3 linked regions of the Arabidopsis thaliana genome follow. The protein of the gene in region 1 interacts with the protein of each later gene in a pairwise test. Each region holds a gene or a part of one and is shown in the gene's direction. Other genes may lie near its edges. The genes, in order: NUDT7, GG1 and AGG2.

The links.
Region 2: the proteins of NUDT7 (region 1) and GG1 interact in a protein complementation assay, tested with the Arabidopsis thaliana proteins (one study listed by BioGRID).
Region 3: the proteins of NUDT7 (region 1) and AGG2 interact in a protein complementation assay, tested with the Arabidopsis thaliana proteins (one study listed by BioGRID).

Annotation. Positions count from the first base shown.
Region 1 is NC_003075.7:7,483,471-7,492,117, forward strand, and holds NUDT7 (MutT/nudix family protein), read left to right. Parts: upstream 1-3,830; 5' UTR 3,831-4,124; intron 4,125-4,215; 5' UTR 4,216-4,245; coding exon 4,246-4,389; intron 4,390-4,447; exon of another isoform or gene 4,448-4,534; coding exon 4,535-4,600; intron 4,601-4,684; coding exon 4,685-4,825; intron 4,826-4,897; coding exon 4,898-4,975; intron 4,976-5,200; coding exon 5,201-5,320; intron 5,321-5,383; coding exon 5,384-5,434; intron 5,435-5,536; coding exon 5,537-5,571; intron 5,572-5,654; coding exon 5,655-5,766; coding exon of another isoform or gene 5,767-5,793; exon of another isoform or gene 5,794-5,865; coding exon 5,866-6,087; 3' UTR 6,088-6,185; downstream 6,186-8,647. Other genes in the region: AT4G12700 (calcium ion-binding protein), read right to left, coding at 1-858; AT4G12710 (ARM repeat superfamily protein), read right to left, coding at 1,570-2,410, 2,896-3,263; FLA2 (FASCICLIN-like arabinogalactan 2), read right to left, coding at 8,128-8,647. UniProt on the Arabidopsis thaliana protein: Mediates the hydrolysis of some nucleoside diphosphate derivatives. Can use both NADH and ADP-ribose as substrates, but not 8-oxo-dGTP, cyclic ADP-ribose, GDP-mannose, UDP-glucose, ATP, or GTP. Exerts negative control of EDS1 signaling.
Region 2 is NC_003074.8:23,413,356-23,421,178, forward strand, and holds GG1 (Ggamma-subunit 1), read left to right. Parts: upstream 1-3,893; 5' UTR 3,894-3,907; coding exon 3,908-4,141; intron 4,142-4,652; coding exon 4,653-4,705; intron 4,706-4,845; coding exon 4,846-4,890; intron 4,891-4,965; coding exon 4,966-5,050; 3' UTR 5,051-5,626; downstream 5,627-7,823. Other genes in the region: AT3G63400 (Cyclophilin-like peptidyl-prolyl cis-trans isomerase family protein), read left to right, coding at 32-149, 279-439, 528-984, 1,086-1,427, 1,510-1,590, 1,813-2,080; APG1 (S-adenosyl-L-methionine-dependent methyltransferases superfamily protein), read right to left, coding at 2,461-2,619, 2,696-3,002, 3,097-3,647; TRM5 (zinc finger CCCH domain protein), read left to right, coding at 7,059-7,172, 7,268-7,823. UniProt on the Arabidopsis thaliana protein: Guanine nucleotide-binding proteins (G proteins) are involved as a modulator or transducer in various transmembrane signaling systems.
Region 3 is NC_003074.8:8,130,522-8,138,677, forward strand, and holds AGG2 (G-protein gamma subunit 2), read left to right. Parts: upstream 1-3,555; 5' UTR 3,556-3,953; coding exon 3,954-4,073; intron 4,074-4,794; coding exon 4,795-4,847; intron 4,848-4,927; coding exon 4,928-4,972; intron 4,973-5,061; coding exon 5,062-5,146; 3' UTR 5,147-5,683; downstream 5,684-8,156. Other genes in the region: AT3G22935 (uncharacterized protein), read left to right, coding at 212-609; AT3G22940 (F-box associated ubiquitination effector family protein), read left to right, coding at 947-2,185; ARFC1 (ADP-ribosylation factor C1), read right to left, coding at 5,843-6,202, 6,801-6,992. UniProt on the Arabidopsis thaliana protein: Guanine nucleotide-binding proteins (G proteins) are involved as a modulator or transducer in various transmembrane signaling systems.

The DNA of each region.
Region 1 (8,647 bases):
CAAATACTGAGCTTCCCCTAAAGCACACAAGAAACTCCACAAGAAATGGTTCATACTCTTACACCTATCTCCTCCACCAGAATAAACCAAGTAATGACCTTCTTTAAACACATTTTCAGACTCAACAACAGGAAGTGAATCATTCACTGCTTCACCAACTACAGGCAATGCGAAATCATCAACCTTACCACCACTCGAATTTCGAAACCCGGGCCTCTTCCGCTTCCTCGCATTCACACCCGAATGATACTCACCAATCCCCATCACACTAACACTACAATTCCCAGACTTTTCAATCACAAACCTCCTATAATCCTTATAAAACGCAGCCGCTTTACCATCCTTAGGTCTATAACGCCAAGCCATATCACAAGAACTACTACTACCTTCCACAATCACAGGTTTACCAAACTTATAAAAGTGACTGTCTTTAAACTTCTCCATAGTAGCTTTCATCATCAAGTGAAAAACTTCAGGATCTTTGCAATCAATTGGGATATTGGTATCACAATCCAATTGATTACCATCAGAGTCATTCTCAGATGTTTCAACATCAGCTATATTGATGAATCCGCCAAACGCGGTTTGGTTCGCCGCCATGAAATCTTCACCGGTTTTGACAATACTGTCGTCGGATTTAAGAGTAGCGTTTGAATTGGATGTGAGGAAAGTTGTGATTTTGTCAGATGGGTGAAATAGTGGATCTTCTGGTTCATATGTAGCAGCGATAATGGTGAAAACTACGACTCCGATTACGAGTACAGAGAAGCCTATGCTTCCGATTAAGGATACTGCGTTTTGCCCTAGATTCTCAGGTCGGAAACCTCCGGTTCTGGAAAATGCAGATCTTCCTGACATCTTTGTCTTCAAGATTCGATGAATGTCATTCTCAGAGATTAGAGACAGTGTCAAGAATAGTTATGGCCATGTCAAGCGGAGGAATCGAAGAGCTTGGAACATTTCTTGTAATGTGTGTGTGTATTTTTTTGCCTACACGTGTACATGTGGAGGTGGAGCGACTCTACTTGCGTCGTCATCGAGACATCGACTATAGCAAAAGGACGTTACTTTAGTTTATAATCTGAGGTCAGTGTGGGCTAAAACGACGTCAGTTTGTGAGTTTGTACATTTTTCCAATAGTTGCTGTAGTTAGAAACCATTTTTATGCACTCGGTGAAATAAGAAATCCATTTTTGTCCGGTGGTCTTTTAATAGAGCTCAAGGCCGTCATTTTTACTGTATTTCATTTAAACTGTTTAACAGACAAAGACCAAGAATACCAAACTTCAAAACGAAAATGCCGAATCAATGTGACGAGACAGCGTAAAAAGCATGAGGAAGGGTTCTGATATACACATGACCCATAACCAAAAGTATGTACAAAAGGGAAAGAAAAATTCAGCCTTCAAAACTTAGCAAATGGTTTTTCTTCCAACTCCGGAGAGGTAAGACTAGACCTAAACCCGGCTCTAATTCTTGAATTTTTCCAGATCAGAACCTGAAACACTACAAATCTCGTAATGCAACCTTCTTGCTTCTACGATATCAATAATATTACCACTACGATCGTTAGCTATTCGATTTGGAAGAGATATCAGGAATAGATGCACAAGACGCAGCCTTGTGCTGGATGCTTTTCATGCTCAGCTCCATGCTTCTATGAACCATGTCCTGCAGCAGTTTCTTAGCCGTTTCAGCAGCTTTTTCTGCCCCGTCGACTTGTACTGCAATGCCATAGACAATTTTCTCTAGTGTTAATGGAGTCATTTCTTTCTCACGAGGGGTTTCTCTCAGTAGGTCCAAGAGAACTCTGGCTCTATCTCGGGACTTTGATGTTCCATCTACTGTTGAACTTAGGAGACCCGGGATTGCACCTTCTTTCAGTATGAGTTTTCGGTACTTATCTCGGTCGCTGCGGCATAGAGAAAGCAGAGCTCCAACTGCGTGTTCTATGCTGAGTGGAGAACCATCCTCTACAGTCTCTACTAAAGTCAGAATACCATCTTCACAGCTGGTGATGGCATTTCGCCCGTCCTCAGAGTGAGACAGGATCATCTCAACCAAGGCTGTGGCTTTTTCAGCAAACTTGGAATGTTTTTTGCATTCTTTAAGGAGGTGGATGAGCGGGTAGACAGCTTTAGCATCAAGAATTGGAGCAGAGTACTCTTTGCAAGCTGATAAATTATGAAGGGCTGTGACAGCATCTACTTTCCCTTGTACAGTTCCGGAGCTAAGCATCTGAATCAGAAGCGGTGGAACTCCAGAACTTATAATCATCGCCTTGTTGGCTGGTGCAGCTGAAAGTGTTAGAATTGCTGCAGTGGCCAATTCACGCAAACTAGCATTGTGGAGCTTCAGAATCTGTATGAGAGGTGGAACGGCACCGGCTTTCACAATCTCAATCTTATTCCTGGTCAGAAATCACAACCCAAAATAAGTAATGACCACCACAAGAACTGAAAATGCAAATCTATTTCCACACAGATTACAAAGGATCTGTAGAAAATACTGCTGGAGCAAGTAGGTAAATTACATCCTACATTTGCTATCTTTATCCAAATAGCAGTAAACTACAGGTAAAGCTAGACCTAGAGCAATCAGATCAGTGTCCAAAAAGCAGTATCCTCTTGGTTTCAACAGATCTAAAGTCCAAAATGTAGCTACTCTCAGTACATTCTGATGCCTGATTGATAGAGTTAAACAATTGCCTTAACACTAAAACTACAAATCCAGAACAATGTCATAAATCAAGCTCTGAGCAGAGATTAGTGAAGTCACTAATCCTAAACACTGCCTAAAGCCTCAGATCGAGTTAAATTAGACCTAGAAGACAAGACGAGAGAATCAGTTTCTGGTACATGGCAATAAAACCTAGAACAATCCAAGAGAGATTACCGTTCATTTCTAACGGCGAGGTTAAGGAGAGCGAGGAGAGAGGCGTGACGAGCATCAACGTTAGAGGAGAAGAGCATGGGAACAAGCGGCGGGATAACGCCGGCGTCGGCGAGTTTTGACCTAGCGGAAGACTTAACCGGAGACTTTCTAAGCAGCTTTCGGATTTCCTTAGCGGCTTCAATTCGGAAATCGAGATCTCCATGGAGAAGCTTCTTGGAGAGATGTAGAATCAGTAATTCCTTTGTGGTTTTCCATGTGTTGGTGGTGGTTTCCTCCTCTGCTTCGTCTTCTTCCGATATATTTGCCGTCACCGTTGAGTCGCCGGCGATGGAAGCCATCATCTGATTCTGGTTCTCTTCCACCACCATTATCTCTGTCTCTCTCGCTCGCTTGCTCGCTCTTGTGTTTGTTTCTCTCTAGTCAAAGACGAAACGACGACTTATCGAATCATCTACTTAATTAAAACGAAAGTTATGGTATTAGTTGAAAGAGCCCATATTTCTCGAGGTTAGTTAGTTCACAATTTACCAACCGGGACATTTCAATATTTTAACTTTTTCAATTTTATGCAAGGAAAGAATATAAGAAAGAATTAGCTAGAAAAATTATTTTCAAAATTAACAACAAATCCCGAATATTTATATAACTATTTAAAAGTATAATTAGGTTGTTCGTTTGATCGCCGCATCTATTTGCGACAGCAGCAACCATGATGATATTCGTTTGGTGGACGCAAGACGATGTGGTCAAACGTTAAGGCAAACGCAAGTAGCTGCGGTTAAAAATTGTTGACATCATTTTACTTCAACAATATGCGGTAGAGTTTGCTGCTGCCGTTAGGCGTAATGAAACAAATAGACTAACACAAAGAATAAACGACTACAATTTATAATTTTTCATTTATAAAATAAAATAAAAATTGGAATATATTGTGCGGAATTCCTATATATCAGAACTCATTGATCTGCTGCTTCTTCTGAAAGTTCTTAAGTGGTTCCACGATGTTTCCATTTTGTTCTGACTTCCGAGGCCAACGAGATGAGTCCAATAAACAAAGGGCACGGAAACATTCTTTTTAAATTAGGTTTGTTTTTTTATTTTTGGTTTTTGGTTTTTCCCGGAAATTGTATGAAGTCTTCGTTACAGTTTCTCTCTCTCACCTTCTCTGTATAAAGTCTTCTTGAGATCGAAGGATAACTTCAATTCAATTCTCTCCAAGGTACACACAGGTACAGTTTTCTCCTTCATTCTCTCTTGTTTGAGATTTCTGAAGATGGGTTTGTTAAAAAAGTGTACTTTTTTTTGTTCTCTCTCGTGTAGCTGATTTTTGTGATAAGAAGATTGATTGAGATGGGTACTAGAGCTCAGCAGATTCCTTTACTTGAAGGTGAGACTGATAATTACGATGGTGTTACTGTAACCATGGTGGAACCTATGGATTCTGAGGTTTTTACTGAAAGTCTTAGGGCTTCTCTTTCGCATTGGAGAGAAGAGGTATTAACAATATATATAACTCAGATTCAAGCCTTATTGTTTGATTGTACTGATAACTGATAAACTTCTGAGATATGATATGAGCTCTTAAGAGTTTAGAGGATTGTGATAACATGAGGACTTAGTCAGAGTTTATGATTTGCAGGGGAAGAAGGGAATTTGGATAAAGCTGCCTCTTGGATTGGCTAATCTTGTGGAGGCTGCAGTTAGTGTAAGTTTTATATGAGGATTTGGATTGACGTTAGTTATTGTGATGATTAGTTGAATATCTTCTTGTGTTTGGTGATTTTTTCAGGAAGGATTTAGATATCACCACGCGGAGCCTGAGTACTTGATGCTTGTATCTTGGATCTCTGAAACTCCTGATACAATCCCAGCCAATGCTTCTCATGTTGTAGGTGCTGGTGCTTTGGTCATCAACAAAAATACTAAAGAGGTAGCCAACTGTTCTCTTCTTTGCATAGTTTCGCATACGTTGCTTAACAAATAATGATAATTCAATGAGCAGGTCCTCGTTGTCCAGGAGAGGAGTGGGTTTTTCAAAGATAAAAATGTGTGGAAGCTGCCTACTGGTGTTATCAACGAGGTGATTTTTACATAAGATTGTTTTTGTGATCTTTTACTATCCCGTTAAATATTTACAATCACGGTGAATGACATGAAGAGTTAAATGCTAAAAAGAGGCAATCTTGATGAACGAAGCTCCTAGGATCCTATACCTTATTGTCCTGTGAATGAAAACGAGTGAACTACTAGTAAGGGTTTGGCTTATGAAGGGTGTCAGCGTATTGTTTAGGGGAGTATATTCTAGGAGTTGGTAGTGCTGAGAGTTGTTGGTGAATTGCATAAGAAAGTAGTTCTTACATCTTACAGATCCATCAAGTGTTTACTGATAATCTGTAATGATACCAAGAATGAAACTAAGAGAATGGTGGATATGAAGTTTTGATTGTTGTTGTCTTTTGCTTCTAACTAAAACATTCCAATGCCACAGGGCGAGGATATATGGACTGGAGTAGCTAGGGAAGTGGAAGAAGAAACTGGAGTAAGTATCTGGCTTTCAAAAATTAAGCATTTCAATCATAAGGATCTCTTACTTGACATTCTAATCTAAAATTTGTGTTCTTCTCTTGGCTTTTCTCTTCAGATTATTGCAGATTTTGTCGAAGTACTGGCTTTCAGGTAACTTAAATTTTATTGCTGTAGACACATTGATCTGGCTTAAACGCATTTGTTCCTCATTGTTCAACTCTTTACACTCTCAGGCAAAGCCACAAAGCCATCTTAAAAAAGAAAACAGATATGTTTTTCCTGTGTGTCTTAAGTCCGCGCTCTTACGATATTACTGAACAAAAATCTGAGATCTTGCAAGCTAAGGTAAACCTTTCTAACTTTCAGTGTTGATGAGCCAAGAAAATGTTAAAAGTTACTGACATATATTTCAAATTTAACCGAAACTGGTATATTGTATTACAGTGGATGCCGATCCAAGAGTATGTAGACCAACCATGGAACAAGAAGAACGAGATGTTCAAGTTCATGGCTAACATTTGCCAAAAGAAGTGTGAGGAAGAATACTTGGGATTCGCCATTGTGCCAACTACCACATCATCTGGTAAAGAGAGCTTTATCTACTGCAATGCGGATCATGCCAAGCGCCTTAAAGTATCGCGTGACCAAGCCTCTGCTTCTCTCTGAAAACATTCTCATCTGATTCTGTTTGATCTCGGCATGTGTGTGTCCAGTGTGTACAAAACAGGAAACTTTCTTCTATATTATTCCGATTCTACAAAATTGCGTCTAAATATTTAAGTTTATACCATCTCTATGAGCCACTGTAAAACTTGCCATCGACTTCTAGTCTATTTCCAGTGATGGTTTGATTCTCCCAACGCTTACGTGCTTTTTAAAGATATGAGGCTTAAGAGTGTTACCATACACTTGGTTTATTCTTCCAAAATATCTTCTCGTAACCGGTTTTAAGTTCTCAGCTGTATCGTCTCTTGACCATTTACTACACTGGTAAATGGTGTGAATCCAAGAAAGTGTTAATGCCATTAAAAAGGTTCACATTACTTTGTATATGTACACCAATTTTTGCGACTCGTTTGTACTGTGTGCCTAACGTGAAAAAGATAAGGCATATATGGGCTTTAGCCCCAAAAAAACTTTATAGGCCCCATATTAAAATTATAGTGTATTTATTTTTCCAGAAATAGAAAATTTATTGTAACATGGAAACATCAAAATTTAAAATGGAATAGTTGCTAAAAATACTTGGGTTCACCCTTCACCCCCTTATATTCACCTCTTCTATTTTAATCAATTAAAATCTGACATTTAACAATAATAAAAAGAATTTAATTTTATTATAAAATCTAATTTGCCACTAAAACGAAATTATGTATCGGTTTGGATTTATTAGAAAAGGTTAGGGTTTAGATTTTATGATTAAACGAGGTTAAATATCGGTTTGGGTTTAGAAAGTACGATTAGGGTTTAGATTTTACAATTAACCAATTAAATATTGGTTTAGGTTTATAAACAGATTTAGATTTTACAATTAAACGAGGTTAAATGTCGGTTTGGGTTTTGAAAATACGATTAGGGTTTAGTTTTTTCTTACGATTAAATGAGTTTAAATGAAGGTTTGGGTTTACAAAGGAGAATTAGGGTTTAGATTTTGTAATTAAACGAGATTATATATCGGTTTAGATTTATAATTATAGCTTTAATTTATTATGTAATTTAAGTAAGATTTGACATGACATGTTTTTATTGGTTAATGCAAAAGGAGGTGAATAGAAGGGTGAATAAAGCTTCGTTCAATAGTTGTGGCATTAAATGTTTTGAAGTTTTGCACATTACTTAAAGCAATAAAATGTCTATTTTAGTATCCTTCAAAATAATTACATTTGTTATAAAATAATTACATTTCTTACAAGTAGGTACTAACAAAATCAATTTTTATCTCACACTAAATTTCTTAAATACATCCGATTTTTATTTAATAAGTTAAATCATGATTGTTTTTTTTAATTACACCTAAACCGCAATTTGTAAACCGGATTAGAGATTAACTAAACTTACATGTCCAAAACACTATTAATTATGGATTGATGGAACAAGAAAGATCTAGTATATCTAATAAGAATATCACCACATTAGGTAGGAGCTGATAATACAATTTTTGTTGGAGATGCCCAACCTAGAGATAGAAAAACATTTAATCCCTCTTAAAGCCCTTATTACTATGTGCAATGCAACACATATGGTTAAAAGATATTACGACATTATAATCGGAAGTTTGAACTAACACTCATTTTATCTCGTATTATAATCTTTGTCCCTATTCTGATTTCCTCTGTAATTGAAAGTATACTATATTTCATATTAGTGTAGTTACGATGGAGCATCATCATGGGTCAAATCCAAGCGACCACAAAGGATGTAACATGCATCTTACAGCTCACAGCCTCACACTATTTCGACTACCACCGACACTATCTTTATAGATACACGTGATTCCAACGTACCAATCACTCTTTTGAATGATCATCACATTTTTTTAGAATAAAACATATCAGATCCAACACAAGTGGAACAATTAATTATTCCAAATCTCCACACCAAGTATCAACGTGAACAAAAAAAAGAATATGTAAAATAAATTAAACCGACAGATCACAAAGAAAAAGGAAAACAAGATTCCCAAAGCGAGGTAAATGCCACGTCACTTCACATAAGCCAAACTCCGAAACAGAGCCCGACAATGGCCGTTACGACATTACTTGTTCGAGTAATCATCGCTGATACGGCGCCGTTTTTATCGTCAGCCACCTCAACATCATCATCTGACGGAGCATCGGCGCTAGGTCCGTCGGCGTCAGCCTCCGCGTTCTTAGGCTTTTTCTTACTCGACTTAGGAGCTGGAGCGGACGTCTTAACGGCCTTGTAGATTTCTCTAGGCAACAACACTTTATCGATCTTGTAAACTATCAATGGCTCTTGATCCTTTAACGTCCCCATTACCTTCGCCGTCACAACGTCCGTCTCCAGCGTCACGTCTTCTCCGTCATTTTGAACGGTGAAATCAAACTTGTTGTTACCTTCCGTCGCTAACGTGTTAACGGCGCCGTTACCTGATCTAAGCATTTGTAACGACTGGTAAACCGGCATGCCGTGGTAAAGCACTAACGCAGTCTTGTTCGCCGGAGAAAGGGATTTGAATTTCGGCATGAACTTACCGACAGCGCTG
Region 2 (7,823 bases), on another chromosome or scaffold:
TTTTTCTCAATATCCCGTTATCCTTTTACAGATGAGAACTTTAGATTGGACCATGATGGAGCTGGAGTCCTTTCAATGGCAAATTGTGGCCCAAATACCAACGGGTCCCAATTTTTTATACTTTTTAAACGCCAACCACATCTTGATGGGTAATCTCTGTTCCTAGATTTTGTTGTTTTGAGAAATTCAAAGTTCATTGTAAAGGACTCTCAAAACGTTTAATGCATTTGGAAGGAAGCATGTTAAGGGTCCTGATTTTCCTTATCCTCATATTGTAGGAAGCATGTTGTATTTGGCAAAGTCGTTGAAGGGATGGCAGTAATCAAGAAAATGGAACTTGTGGGGACGAGTGATGGGAAACCTACTAGCCCAGTCAAAATAATAGACTGTGGTGAAACGTCTCAGATAAGAGCACATGATGCTGCTGAAAGAGAAAAAGGTAATGAAGTTAATCTTTGAATGTGGAGTTTCTATAATAATGATGGAGTTTCTAGAATAATGATGCAGATATATTTAATGTTTATTAGGGAAATCGAAAAAATCAAACAAGAACTTTTCTCCTGGTGACGTATCTGACCGTGAAGCTAAGGAGACACGCAAAAAAGAATCTAACGAGAAAAGGATAAAACGAAAAAGAAGATACTCTTCGTCAGATTCATATAGCTCAAGTTCCGACTCAGATTCAGATTCGGAATCAGAAGCATATTCATCTTCCTCCTATGAGTCTAGTTCTTCCAGTGATGGGAAGCATAGGAAGAGGAAGTCAACAACAAGACACAAAGGCCGACGCGGGGAAAGAAAGAGTAAAGGACGAAGCGGGAAAAAGAAAGCTCGGCCAGATAGAAAACCAAGCACGAATAGTTCAAGTGACACGGAGAGTAGCAGCAGTTCTGATGATGAGAAAGTGGGCCACAAAGCCATAAAGTCAGTGAAAGTTGATAACGCTGATCAACACGCCAACTTGGATGACTCAGTGAAATCAAGGTTTATCTCCCTGGCTTTATGTATTTCAGCTTTGCTTCTGCAATTTGGTGGTCTGATTTTGTGGTCACTGACAAACTTTGCCATTTTCTATTGCTATACAGGAGCAGGAGCCCAATTCGTAGGAGAAACCAAAACAGCAGGAGCAAAAGTCCTAGTAGGAGCCCTGTGAGAGTTCTTGGAAATGGAAACAGAAGTCCTAGTAGGAGCCCTGTGAGAGATCTTGGAAATGGAAGCAGAAGTCCTCGTGAGAAGCCAACAGAGGAAACTGTGGGGAAATCTTTCAGAAGCCCATCTCCAAGTGGTGTGCCCAAGCGCATCCGAAAGGGGCGTGGGTTCACCGAACGCTATTCCTTTGCTCGGAAGTACCATACTCCTTCTCCTGAGCGTTCTCCTCCTAGACATTGGCCTGACAGAAGAAACTTTCAGGATAGGAACAGGGATAGGTAACTTAATCTATACATACATACAACAAAGGACGATAGCTCTGCGGATAGTACTAAAGCCTCATTTTGTTTAATTATGTAGGTATCCGAGCAACAGAAGTTACTCTGAGCGCTCACCGAGGGGACGCTTTAGAAGCCCACCCAGAAGAAGGAGCCCTCCAAGGTTCGCTTTCTTATCTCTGTACAGATTCTGGCTTTGGCTTGGGACGATATAGCTTGTAAACCAGCACCTAGAGCCACTTGCATTAGATTTATATCCTAGAACGACCCTTTTTGTGATATTATTTTGGTTAAGCAAAACATTCTAATTGAATGCTGAAAGTTGAAAAGAGCAACTTTATAGCAATGTTGGATGTCCTCTGAAATTGAGTGTTGTCTTGCATAGGTACAACCGGAGGAGAAGGAGCACTTCTCGGAGTCCAGATGGGTACCGTAGACGATTGAGAGACGGAAGCAGGAGCCAGAGTCCGAGGCATCGTAGCCGTAGCCAGAGCCCTAGAAAGAGGCAGCCAATTAGCCAAGACCTGAAATCCCGTCTCGGGCCACAGAGATCCCCCATCAGAGGAGGACGCACCTCTCCTGCAGAATCACTCAGCCCTTCTCACTCACCTTCTCCACCAGGAAAGAGAGGTCTGGTTAGCTATGCGGATTGATGGTCACTCTCATCCATTGGTTTCTCTGCTGACTTGCGAGTTTTTGTTTTAATTTCCGTGTTTTAGTGCAAGCAATAATAGGTAATGATATTTTTTATGTTGGTCGGATATATAATACTCTACCTTAGTTGCATTATTACAGATCGTGGAACATTGATCAAATTGAGACTGATATATGTTGGCAGAATTGAGTTTGGGAATCGAAGTTTGTAGAAAATTTATCGAACAAGTAGCATAGATATCTCAACATGAAAATCTAGTAATACATGTAAAGAAAGAAGGTTAATGATATTCCGCATGTTCATAGATAGGACTCGAATCTTTCTTTACCACAAGAGGGGTTTACAATGATACAATGATCATGTCCTAGAAGAGAAGGATCAGATGGGTTGGTCTTTGGGAACGATCTGATCCTTGATCCACATGTAGATAGGGATTAACACAAACCAGGCAGCTGCTAGAGTTCCCAGGAGGAAGCGTCCCAAGAAGGAGAAGGGGTTGTTGACAGGCTTCTCTACGTCCTCTTCCTTTGGACCAAGCTGCAGCATTTGAGTGATAAGTTTAGTGTATCAAAGAGAGAAGAAAGTAAAAAAGGTGAAGTGGGAGGTAAAAGACCTGGAGAGGAGAGTCACCGGAGGCAGGTTTAACACCAGTGACAGAACATCCCATGATAAGGCCGTGCCTGCGAACACCACGGTACCACTTGGGGCCAATCCTCTTGAGCTGAACGTCCTTGAAACCGGCATTCTTGAACCACTCAATGTACTCTTCCTCCTTGGGGAAGAGCATCCAGACATCAGAAAAGAAGCGAGAGAGCCAGAAGGTTGGGTAGACAGGGCCGATGAGACACGCTTTGCCACCGATCTTGAGAACCCTGTACGCTTCCCTTATTCCCCTCTGCGGGTCCGGCCAGTACTCAATGCTGTGTGATGATGAGACACACAATCAAACCCACCGGAAAGAAGACGATTATAAGAAGAAGAAGAAGAAGAAGAAGAAGAAGAAGAAAAGGATACCTTCCAGCAGAAACGTATCTGTCAGCATAATCGGTTGGAAAAGGAAGATCCTCAGCATCTCCCTCGACGATCTTGCATTCTTTCAACGGCTCCTTTTGCTTTGCTTTGGCCAGCTGATGTGGCGACTGGTCCAGAATGGTCACATTCTTGGCCTTCACTGTCTTGACTATGCCCAGAGTAGTGAAACCAGTTCCGCCGCCGACATCGACCACTCGCATGTCCGGATGGCTGAGATCCGCTGGCTCAAGAGCGTCGTCTCTCATATCCTCGGTCCAATGCCCAGGATTGATGACATGGTCGTATACGATGGATAAGAACCTGTAGAACCAGTAAGCCTCCTTCTTGTGCTGAATGAACCTAGGTTGCGCCGATGGCCGGGAAGACGACACGCTGCTGCTGCTGCATCTAGTAGCCACCGAGAGTCTAGGTGTGGAGGTTCGGGTAACTGAGAGTAAGGTCGGCCGAGGAATCGATCTGGCATGCAAATTGGAACCAGGGGAACCTAAACCTTTGGGGAAGGTAATGGCCCCGTTGAGCATCAAAGAGGCCATCGATGACAGATCCACCAAGTTGAGAAGAGGGAAGAAGAAGCTTATCTATCACCAATTCTCCGCCAATCAAAAACACAAACGAGAATGAGAGTGTGACTAAACCCTCTAACTCTAACAGAGTCAGTACTGACTCCAACCACATGTTTATGTACGGTCACGTTGTTTGTTGCGACAACACATATCCCTTTGTTGAGCCCATGGGCTCATTTGCAAGAATTGGCCCAAATAATAGTATTGGGCGTTTTGGCATTTTTCTGCAAATGGAAGGGAAAAGTCGATTTGAGTCAGAGAGAGAGAGACTTCGACGACAATTCAAACTTGTACGGACTAAGACCAGACTCTCTCTGACGTTGTCAGATCTGCGACCTGCTAGCGAGAGGATGCGAGAGGAAACTGTGGTTTACGAGCAGGAGGAGTCTGTTTCTCACGGCGGGGGCAAGCACAGGATCCTTGCAGAGCTTGCCCGCGTTGAACAGGAAGTCGCTTTCTTGGAGGTAGCTAAACTAACTCGTATCTCTTTCAAATTCCGACGTAGGTCTCTCGTGGATAGCTCAATTATCCTTTTTAGATCAATTGTTACAACAATTAGGTAAAGGTCGCTAAGATTGTTTCCTGTGAAAGCAAAAACCAGTATGGCAGATCTGTTCCAATCAGAAGAGCATGGTAGTTCTCTTGACAATAAGTGGCACCATTTCAGTCAGTCTTGTTTATGACTCTATGAATTGTATTCCCAAAATCTAAATCTGCTGGGTTCTCTTTGGATCCACTATTGGAATGGTTCTCTGTTGATCTTATTCTTAGGGATGTGCAAGAATACTTTTGATCATAGTCCAATTAGTATCATTCTCTCTTGGTTATCATCTATCGAGGCATGTTAAAAGTTAACCTTCTCCCAAGTTTCTCTGTTGCACAGATAATGTGTTTGCCTATTGTTCCTACTAGTGAGCTCTAACACTTACTAAAAATAGCTTTACTCTCTCTTTCTGTTTCATGTACTATATCCAGAAAGAGTTGAAGGAGGTCGAGAACACAGATATTGTATCAACCGTGTGTGAGGAGTAAGTATGGGATACTCAACCTATGTTTTTTTTTAACGCTTGCAAGCAACTGTGTGCTAGCTCCTGTAGGTATATTATCTGGATTTGACTGAAACTTGTACGTTGATTGGTGATCAAATTGATATTCCCTTGGTTCGCAGGCTGCTATCTGTCATCGAGAAAGGACCCGATCCTCTGTTGCCACTGTGAGTGCTTTTTAAACCTTGAAACTCTAGTGTTGGTTTGGACTGAATAACTGATGGATGTTGTGGTGCTGGCAGAACCAATGGACCTTTGAACTTAGGATGGGACCGGTGGTTTGAAGGACCAAATGGAGGAGAAGGCTGCAGATGCTTAATACTTTGATTCGCTAGACAGAGTAATGTGTTACATATACTAGTTTCTTGCTAGGATATCATTTTACATGGGATCCAAAATGGGGCTGTAGCAGAGAAAAAGCGTACAGATTAATGAGCATTGGAATTGCATAGAACGGCTTAGTTGCACCTACGTAAACAGTATTATATGTATATGTAATGTATGGGATCCGGATCTGACATACGAGTAATGGAGTTTCAGGCTTACAGCTTCTCATCTTCTTATTCTAGATCTTGTTGAAAGAAGCTGAAATGTGCATAGTGATATTTGGGGGCTAATAGAGTAATAGCTAATGAGGAAGTGGGTACAATCTTGAAGACCGTTAAGTGTGTCTCTCTTTTTTCTTTTTAGATAACTTTTGGCCACATCCACCCTCCATGATACACACACGCTAGTTTCGAGGATCAGAATACATACATACCTATGTTTATTATATAGATAGAACGATAATGGAACACAGAGCACATGCCTCATCTGTTGTCTTTTTATTATTACTTATTACTCTTCTCCTCCACTTCTGTATTATTACAGTCTGTTAAAGTAGAACCCCCTTTTGTTTTTTTCTTTCTATGTCTCAAAAATTAAAACAAGTTATGAGGTTTAAAAAAAAAATTGAGAAATGTAGAGGGTATTAGTAGAAGTGATTTACGGTAAGTTTATTCGACAGCTAAAAAGATAGTTTATGCATTCCAAAATATTCCTCAAATTTGTGATGAGTAAACAAATACTGGTAAGGTGGGTTTTCTGACAACCTTTGGATATACAGTAGTATGTCATCTGTTTTCATTGCCTCATTGGTCAAGATCAAAGTTGATGACCTCATTAGAGCTCCTTCTTCTCCCATAAATAAAAAAAAATTGATCAAAGTTTGTAGTATGAATTTGTTATATAAACAGAAGAGAAATTAACACAGAGATGTGAGTTGGTCCAAAAGAAAAATGATTGAGCAGCCGGAAGAAGCACGTTACAACATCTGCAGCATATCTGGTCAGAGAGAGTACAGAAATATTGGGGATTCAAACAATTCACCTCGTGATGAAACCTGAACATTGAAACATGCATTATAGCCTCACTCACATGCTCACATAATGCCAAACCCTTTTTCTCTGTTCCCGCCTTGCTTTTTTTTTTCGTGGCAATAGAATACAATACATTGGTTGGGTGATTAAATAAAGAGAATGACTAGGATAAGTAAGTTAGCCGTTAAAGTTGTAAATCTCGAGTAAGTGAAGTGGTCCGTTTTTATGAAACTCATAAAAACGAAAGTCCCATGTCCCTAAAACACTAGTAGAATGTGGTAACGTATCTTCTTCACATTCACGTTTTCATATGGGAAACGAATGAAATAAACAATGCAAAACGCAATAACTTAATTAGAATCTTGAACTGGCCGATAAGTGCAACCGTAACGGAAAGCAGAGGCAGAGAGAGAAGAGAGAAGAGGGAGAGAGCTGCCTTGGGAATAGATAGAAAGAGAGCGTATCAACGGTGGTCATTACTTTATGATGGCATTCCCAACTTTGAAACTGCCACGTCGATGTCGGTCAACAGCGGGGTCCATATCTCCTCATCTTCCGTTCCATATTTTTTCCACGTGGCATTTTTCTTTCCTCTTGAAACAAGAATTCAGAATTGAATCGTAAACTCTGAACTAGAGTAAGTAAATAATGTATTGACTAGAAGAAGAAGTAAGTAGTACGGGCTGGGTAAGTAAAGATAATAAATATGCGGGGTTTGATCTTTACTTATTTATTAGGACTCAAACTTAGCCATTATTAACTCAAAAATCAAAATTACTCCTAAAACAAGCAGATAGGAAAAAACACAAATAAATAAAAAAAAGGAAATTGAATGCAGAGTTGTCAGAGTGTATTTAAAAAAGAAAAAAAAAGCACGTTAGGAGGAGTATCCTTTAGACTAGAGTAAGGGAGTGGGTGCTTTAAAGAAGCAGAGAAGCGGGAGAAGAGTGTGCAGCAGCAACAGCCAACAGAAGAAAATGGCAAAAGAGAAAGATCTGGAGAAGCAAATCGGCGGTTGCATGGCCGGCTTCTTCAACATCTTCGATCGCCCCAGTCTCCTCTCTCCTAATAAGCGTCTCTCTTCCTCTCCGGTAACTTGTCTATCTCTCTTTCCCTCTTCTCCTGTTCCTAGAGGGATGCAATGAATTGACTTACCAACAAAACAACAATGTCTGTGTTTCTCCAGAGCGCTGAATCTGAATCTGCCTCGGGTAGGACGAATCAGCAGAGTGTGTACTCTACCCCTGAGCTACGCTCTCCTGCGCCGGCTCAACAAAGATCTTCTTCTTCTTCTTCTTCTTCCTCTAGGCCTTGGAGGTTCTCTAAAGAAGCTCCGAGGCTCTCCCTCGATAGCAGAGCCGTCGTGGATGCCAAGGGCTGCCTCAAACACAGACAGATCCGAGCCGATGCGGTTGAGGCTGAGAACCAGCGCGGCTCACCCAGTGTGATCGCACGGCTCATGGGATTGGAGCCATTTCCCCAACAGCCTCTCCAGAGATCTGCATCCGAGTCCAGGGTCACCAGAGACTACATATTTGACTTTCACGATGACAAGGGAGCAGCTCAAGATCCGGCTCCAATTAGGAACGCCCGAGCCCACCCAACCTCAGTAGTACGCCGAAAGAGTTTCTTTGATTCCGGTGATTTCTTCCCGAGAGTTTCCAAAATGAGTGGATTTGACGCTCCCCCGACCGATCTGGAAACCCTCAAGCAGCTTCTCGAAGCTCTTAGGCTCAAAGGAC
Region 3 (8,156 bases), on another chromosome or scaffold:
CGAGAGGATGGATCAGTTATAGAATTCAAATCTGCAAATAATATTTTATTCTCTTCTTTCATTCTAGCTACCTCGATCTTCTGCCTTTGAATTTCATTTCTTTCAGAAGTACCTTTAGTAATAGCTTTGATAAGTTTATCATTTTGCTCCAAAAGTTGTTTAAACTGTTCTTCAGATTGTTGTTTTCGCTTTGCTTTTTTCAAACTCATAGGCCTTGAAGATAAACTAAAATTGGCATCTTCACTATCCATATTTAGATCAATTGAATTCATACCAGGGGAAGGTGATGACTCGGTATTGATTGAAAATGATGAAGATGACGTAACGGGGCCATCACGCTTATGGAATAAAACAATATTACATGATATAATGACATCTTGTATCATAATGCATAATATGATCATCGAAGATGAGCGTGATATTGATGCACCAATTGAAGAACGGGTCGAAGTTCCAATTGAAGAAGTTGAGATGACGGGTGATGATGATACTCGATTTCAAGAATTTTTGGCTCGGCACCGACAAATTAAAGACCGAGAAGCTCATATTGAACTTAGAAATGCTTTAATTAAACATTTGTGGTCGCAATATACTAATTCTGAGAATTAGTACGATGTAATTTATTTTTATTATGTTTGGTTTATCGATTGTAATATTATATTAATTAATGAAGAATAAAATAATATGTTGTGTTTAATTAAATAATATGTTGTGTTTCTTTATTTTGTATTAAATTTGTTTAATGTAATAATTTGTTGTCTAACATTTGTTTCAATATTATTAAGTATTTTTAAAGTATTCATATTTTAGGTTAATAATATAATAATAGAGAATAGTATTTTTAGTGTGACTTTTGGTGTTGTGGTTGGAGATGAAAAAGAATTTAGTGTGAAAATCACACCAAATATAGTGTTATTCTAACACAATTTTAGTGTTGTGGTTGGAGATGCCCTTAGAAGAGATACTCTCAAGACTTCCATTGAAGTCTACGAGAGCAGTGAGATCGACTTGCAAAAAGTGGGACTCTTTATTCAAAAATCGGAGCTTTATTAGTAAAGCAGCAGCAGCAAGAGAAGGAGAGTCTCAGATGGTCGTGTTGATGGATCACAATCTTCATTTAGTGAGCTTCTTCTTCGGCAGTGATACTTCTGTAGAGATTAAAGGTAAACGTATTTGTCTAAACGACGATTCAGATTCAGAACAAGTCAAGATATCTCAAGTTTTTCACTGTGAGGGTTTGTTGTTATGTATCTTGAAAGATGATAACTTTAGTCTTGTTGTTTGGAACCCGTATTGGGGACAAACAAGGTGGATCAAACCCAGATGTTCTTTCGAAATACCCCAGGGATGTGACATGTACAGGTACGCTATTGGATACGACAACAAGAGACGCAACCACAAGATCTTGAGGTTTATAGATTATGAATTCCATTACCCTCGAGACAACGTTGTTTTGTGGTATGAAATCTATGATTTTGAGTCTGATTTATGGACGACTCTTGATGTTACTACTCCACATTGGTTGATAAATTGTGGTAACCGTGGTGTTACTCTCAAGGGAAACACTTACTGGTGTGCTAAAAAAAGGAACTCTGACCTTTTTCTCAATGCTGATCATATAATCTGTTTTGATTTCACAAGTGAGAGGTTTGGTCCGCTTCTGCTTTTGCCGTTTAGTGATTTGGATGGTGTTGTTACTCTAGCTTGTGTTAGAGAGGAGAAGCTTGCGGCTTTAGTTTGTCACGAGGATGTTGTTGAGGTTTGGATTACGATTAAGATTGAGGCCAATGAGGTATTGTGGAGCAAGTTCTTGACAGTGAATGTTGATTTGGGTGATGAGATTCCGAGTTCACTGACATATGGTAGTTTTTTCATCGACGAGGAGAAGAAAGTTGCTATGATTTTTGATAAAACTTTGGATCGCGGCGACACAGTTCACATCATGGGAGAGGCTGGATATGGTGGACAAGTTGATCTCGGAGAACCGGTTAATAAAAGACGTTGCCCACTTGTGTGCTCTTATGTTCCGAGTTTAGTGCAAATCAAGAAACCTGCAGGATTCCAAAGGAAACAGCAAAGCAAGTTAGAAAAGCGTCAATATGTTCGAAACATATCGAAACTTCGCGCACTTAAAACCCAAAGTTCTTGGACATTAAGTATGTCACTTGAATGTCATCAACAGTAAGATTTATGTTTCTTGGCTCGTACTTCGATTTATTACTGCTATGTTTTAGACTGATACTTTACTAAATATTACATGGCTTCATCAGGAGCTTGGTAGAGTGAGAAAGCATTGCCAGCCGATTTTTGCCCGTATAGCTCCGTCTCAGTTTGTTTCGGGCCATTGTTGAAAGGACTTCCTGTGCGCTTTTTTGTCGATCAATAGTTTAGACCGCTCTTTTTTGTTGCCACTTTCTTGCTTAGGGGAGTCTTTAGATCGAGTTTTCTTCATCTTCTTACTAAGAGCCTCATCGCTTAAGGTTTAGTTGATGCGATGAATCTCGAAAGGATTATGCTTCCATGTTTTTTTCCTTTTTTTGGCATGGGACCATGTTTGTAGGTTTTGCTTCTTGTAACTCCTAAACTTTCATTTTATATGATATTTACATTCTTATCAAAAAAAAAAATATATATATTACATGGCTTCATGCTAAAGGACATGATATTAATCAGATTTTTAAAATTTAAAGATGGTGGAACCTCAGGTTTTCGATAATATAATTTAGAGATAGCTTCTGTTATCTGGCCTAGTCTCTACAAAGTTTTTAAAACCGAACCAGCGACTCGACTAGATGGCATTGTCGATATATCTATCTAGCAGAATTTCAGTAGCAGAGTCTTTTTAGTGAGAGGGTCAGGTGCATTATCAGTCCTTGGAAACATCAAAGACAAGAGCAAGTTGTTCATGCTCAAACTAAAAGATTACCATCCACCATTTTGGGATATATATTCAACTTCTTACTCTTTGACATCTTGGAAGTCTTCCACATCCTCTTCTTCTTAGGTCGTTATCTTCATAAACATCTTCTTCAGTCAAATCTGCCTCACCTTCTGAGTAGCAAATATTTTAAACCAGACCATTTGTACTTCTGACTATTCTTCTGTCCGATATGTATCTCTTTAGAAGATCTTGGTGCATAATGGCCTAATGGGGATCATCATTAATTAGGAAATAAAAATCAATTCTTATATGTGCTGAGAAAAAAAAAAAAAAGCTTTGAAGTTAAAACTAGAAATAATAAAACATATTGGATTAAAGATAATTAATGTGGATCCATGGAATGATCGATCATGACGAGAAATAAAATATTATGGGGAATATATAAAGAAAGAAAAATGTGCAAGATGATTAGTATGAAAATAACATTCCCTTAGTTTCACAATATAAGTGTTTTGGAGAAATTTTTGTTTCGAATGTTTTCAAAATTTTATGCAAATTATAGATTTTTTTATTTTTATAATTATATATATATATTATATGGTCTATTTTATGATTGGTTAACTTTTTAAAAAAATAAACATGAGTTATTGAGGTTTCAAGAAGAAAGTTTTATGTTTATGGCCATCAAGACTGAAATAATGTTTTGTTTTTCTTATTTCCGTCGACTTTCGTCTTTTTCAAAATCGCAACTTTTATATATATTTTTTTCTCTCGCCTTTCGATCATCGGAAAAGCTCTTTTTCAAGTCTCCCCAACTCATAACTTTGAATTTTCTATTTGCCCCCTCATAAAATTTGCTTCTATTCTCTTTGTTTGTTGGAGTTCTCAAGATCTGTTTGATTCTGAATCCTTGTAATTTTTGTATCCAACCAGTAACAAATGGGGTTTTGTGAAGGTTTATGAGTTTCCCATATTCAAATGGCGATCTTTTAGTCTGAGTAAAATTGTGGTTCTTATCTGTTTTTGTTAAAGTTTCGATTTTTATTTTGAGGGTTGAATTCGAGAAATTTTGATGGAAGCGGGTAGCTCCAATTCGTCGGGTCAGCTATCCGGGCGGGTCGTTGATACAAGAGGCAAACACAGGATTCAAGCTGAACTCAAAAGGCTTGAACAAGAAGCTCGATTCTTAGAGGTATTTTACTCTCCTCTTAATCTTAAACCCTTTCTTGTTTCGACGTGCTTGGGCCTTTTGGCTGATTATATCATATAATTACAGATTGGATCAATCTGTTGTTTTTGTGCTTCGGCTCTTTTTGGATGGAATAGTATAAATCTGAGTGGAGTACGGTAGAGACTTTCAAAGTTTGAAACTTTTTTAGTTTTGGGAATCAATTTGATTTAGGGGTTTTTGTTGTTGTTGGTATTCAATGAGTGAAAAAAAAAAAACAGGTTTTGTTGTAGCAGTTGGTATTGTGGGGTTGCTTTTAGTGAGTTAATAGTACTTGTCTCTTGATATAGTTCCTTTTTATATGCTTAACAAGATTGGATCTTAGATTAATGGAATCGATCTGACTTTAAGAAATGTAGTGTAGAACTGTCTCCTTTTAAAGAGATTTTTGTGATGCTAAATGTTACTTGAGTGAGAGAGTAGATCCTTTGCGAACAATATGCTTCTGTTGATAAAACAAATCACCAGGGTCAGTAATTAGGAAGGTTCAAGAATGGTGAGGAGTGAAACTGAAATGTAGTTTAAGCTCTTGAGCATATTTCATTCAGGTGTAATAATATCTTGACTCTTGATCCCTTGAGGTTTAAGCTCTTGTCTACGTAGCTGTTATGACATTTGTGAACTCAAATGCTTGCTTAAAAGCGTTACAAGGTTTTAACTTTCTTCCTTCATTTATTATATTCAGGAAGAGCTGGAGCAGCTTGAGAAGATGGACAATGCATCAGCATCCTGCAAAGAGTAAGAACTTGTTACATAACTGATATCCGGTTCACGAATAATCATTCCACAAGCTTGACTAGTTTCTCGAATGGATGCAGGTTCTTAGACAGTGTTGACAGCAAACCCGATCCTCTTCTTCCCGAGTAATTCTTCTTCTGTTTTCTGATAGTTTCATTTCAATAGACTGTGAGATGATTAGGTCTGATATGTTTGCTTTTGTGACTACTTGCAGAACAACAGGTCCGGTGAATGCGACATGGGATCAATGGTTCGAAGGCCCTAAAGAAGCAAAACGATGTGGCTGCTCCATTCTTTGATCTTCCTTTCCTTCTCTCAAAATATTTTTGTCTCTACTTCTTCCAGAAGAGTGAGTTTGTGTTTTTACGTTCCCGCGGCAGTGAATTTGATGTAATTGGCAAAAAAAAAAATTGATTCATTTGTGCAGTAAAAAATCTATTGATCTTGATGTGTCTCTTAATTTAAGAAGACCACAGTGCCAAATTCACGCCACCACAAGAAAATCTAGCACAGTGGCCGTCGGTGATCCCCACACCAATGCATCTCAGTTCCAGATTGTCTTGGAAAAGTTCTCGTTTCTCGATGGTTTACATGTCGTGTTCGGGCAAGTTGTTGAAGGACTCGACGTGCTCAGGAGCATTGAAGACGAGGTTGGAACTTTGAACAGGATTCCTTCCAAGCCGGTGGTTATCGCAGACTGTGGTGAGCTCTGAGAGAGGCTACAATGGTGTCTTGTCTTGTTTTAATGGTTGCTCTGTTTTTGTTTTTAGTTCGTTTGGATTTTGAGTTTGGTGGTAGTTTTAAATCTGAAACAAAACAAGATTTTTTTCTTCCATATATGAAAATTCTGGACACAGTTTCAATGAGAGCAACCAAAATAGTTGAAGCTTGTTACATAAAAGTCAAGAGGATACAATGTTAAAGAACATATGAAGGAGACAAAAGAAACAAAGAAGAATAGTACGTACTCTCTCTGATTCAGTTCTGGTTTCCCCTTAACTCGTGGCTTTACCGGTAACTTTTTGGGCAATCCAACCGAGCCCATCATACAATCCTTCTCCAGTAACCGCACAACTTGCTTGAATATGCCAATCATGGTTCTTGATACTGTGAAGGTTAAGTGCATCCGTGATCTCAGCAGGAGTCATTGCGTCTTTCAGATCCTGTTTGTTTGCAAAAACTAGTATGACCGAGTTTTGAAGATCCTCATGACCAAGTAACCTGGCTAGCTCATCTTTCATGAAAGAGATTCTGGCTCTGTCTGTGCTATCTATAACCACAATCACAGCATGTGTTCCACGATAGTATGTTGCCCATGAAGTTCTTAGCCTATCTTGCCCACCAAGATCCCATACCTAAAGACAACATATCATAAAAGTAAACATCGCCTCAAATATTCGATTGCCAGTGTCCAACAGTTAGTTTTTGACAGGAAACAATTCAAACTTTAGTAAGTTTAGTTACGTTTATATTCATCATTGAGTTTTGACATATAAGAACACATGCAGATTGTCATAAAACAGAGATGAATTCATCTCAGGCCATGACTTTGACCACTGTATAAAGATGTTCCAAACAGTCCTCTGGCAAAAAAACTAAGCTAATGGGAAATAGCAAACAGTTCCTCCGGTATAACAAACAAGCTAGATAAACAACATCTACAAAAATTTACTATACAAAACCATAAATCGCACATACGAAAACGTTCATTATGAGTTTCTGACACCTTCTCAACCAATCATGACAAGAACTTAGACAAAAACATCATCCATTTTTCAACGAGAAAAATGCACACACCCAAGCAAGAAACATAGCTAGGGACAATAACACAATCAAAAGATGGCAATGGCAAATTTAAGAAACATCCATAAAGTTTCAAACTTCTAAAACACGTCCCTAGATAAGAAGCTAAGAAACAACTTCACCCAAATGAATAAAGAAAGAGTCCAGTACCTCAAAGCGAATATTCTTGTAGACAAGCTCTTCAACATTGCTACCAACAGTAGGATGAGTAGTAACAACTTCACCCAAATGAAGTTTATAAAGCGTCGTCGTTTTACCAGCATTATCCAAACCAACAACAACAATCTTATACTCTTTTGCAGGAAACATCATGAACCAAAACCTCGACATGAATGCTCCCATCTCCTCCAATTTCTATCACAAACAAGATCCTAATCAAATAAAACACATCATTACTTTTACGATCAAATTGTTCTACAAACAGAGTGAAATCGAGAAACCCTAAAGATACATCCTTTAAATTGACCCATCAATTTTACAAACCCAAGTAATTGAATCAGAGAAGCCCAGATCAGATTTGGATACAACGATCCCAGATTCGATAAAGTTAACCAAATCTAAATTATATATATACAAATCGGGAAATTTGTGATCAAACCTTGAATCAGCTAGAATCTGAAGATTGCAGAGGTAAGAATCGGAGATCAAAAAAAGTTCTTCTTCTACTATTTTGTAAGCTTTTGAGGTTCCTTCCTTAAAGCAGATGGGTGGAGAGAAGAAGAAGAAGAAAAGTATGCGGGAAACAATGTCAAAACTGTAAATATGATGATCTAAATTATTAATAACTTTTAATATAACAAATATTAAAATGAAAACTATATAGTAATGTTTTCTTTTACTTACCCAAACGGCTGCAGCCTCTACCGTAATGGCACCGAACACGTCACCGCCATTAGCCACGACGCCAAAGACGAACATTGTTGAAGACTTGAAATCCACAAAGATGTTTTTAAACGAGAAAAAAAAAAACTCAAACGGGCTTAGGGCCTTTCCATATATTTTAGATTATAACAATTACATTTTCTCGGCCCACAGAAGTATATAAAATTAAATAGAAGTAAATTATATTGAGGATTTAAAATAACAAATTTAATTATAATTTGAAATCATGGTTATAATACGATCGTGTGAAATGTTAATTAAATGCTTATATTGATTATTTTATTATTAAATTTGTGCTAATTTTGGTAACGAATCTTATTTTTGTTATTGTATACGATGATTTAAAATATATATATATATATATATATATATATATATATATATATATATATAATAGTTCTAGAAAAGTCTAATTGGATTTTTTAGATCCTATCATAGTTGATAGTTCTCTTTTTGTATATGGCTAGCAATGCGGAATCGACTCTCTACATTAGATTCAATGAAGGCTTGGAATGTGAACTTGAATCGAACATGTGTGTTATGTAACACTCTTATCGAGACACGAGAGCACTTGTTTTTCAGCTGTAAGTACTCGTCGGCAGTCTGGTCCTCCCTAGCGAAACC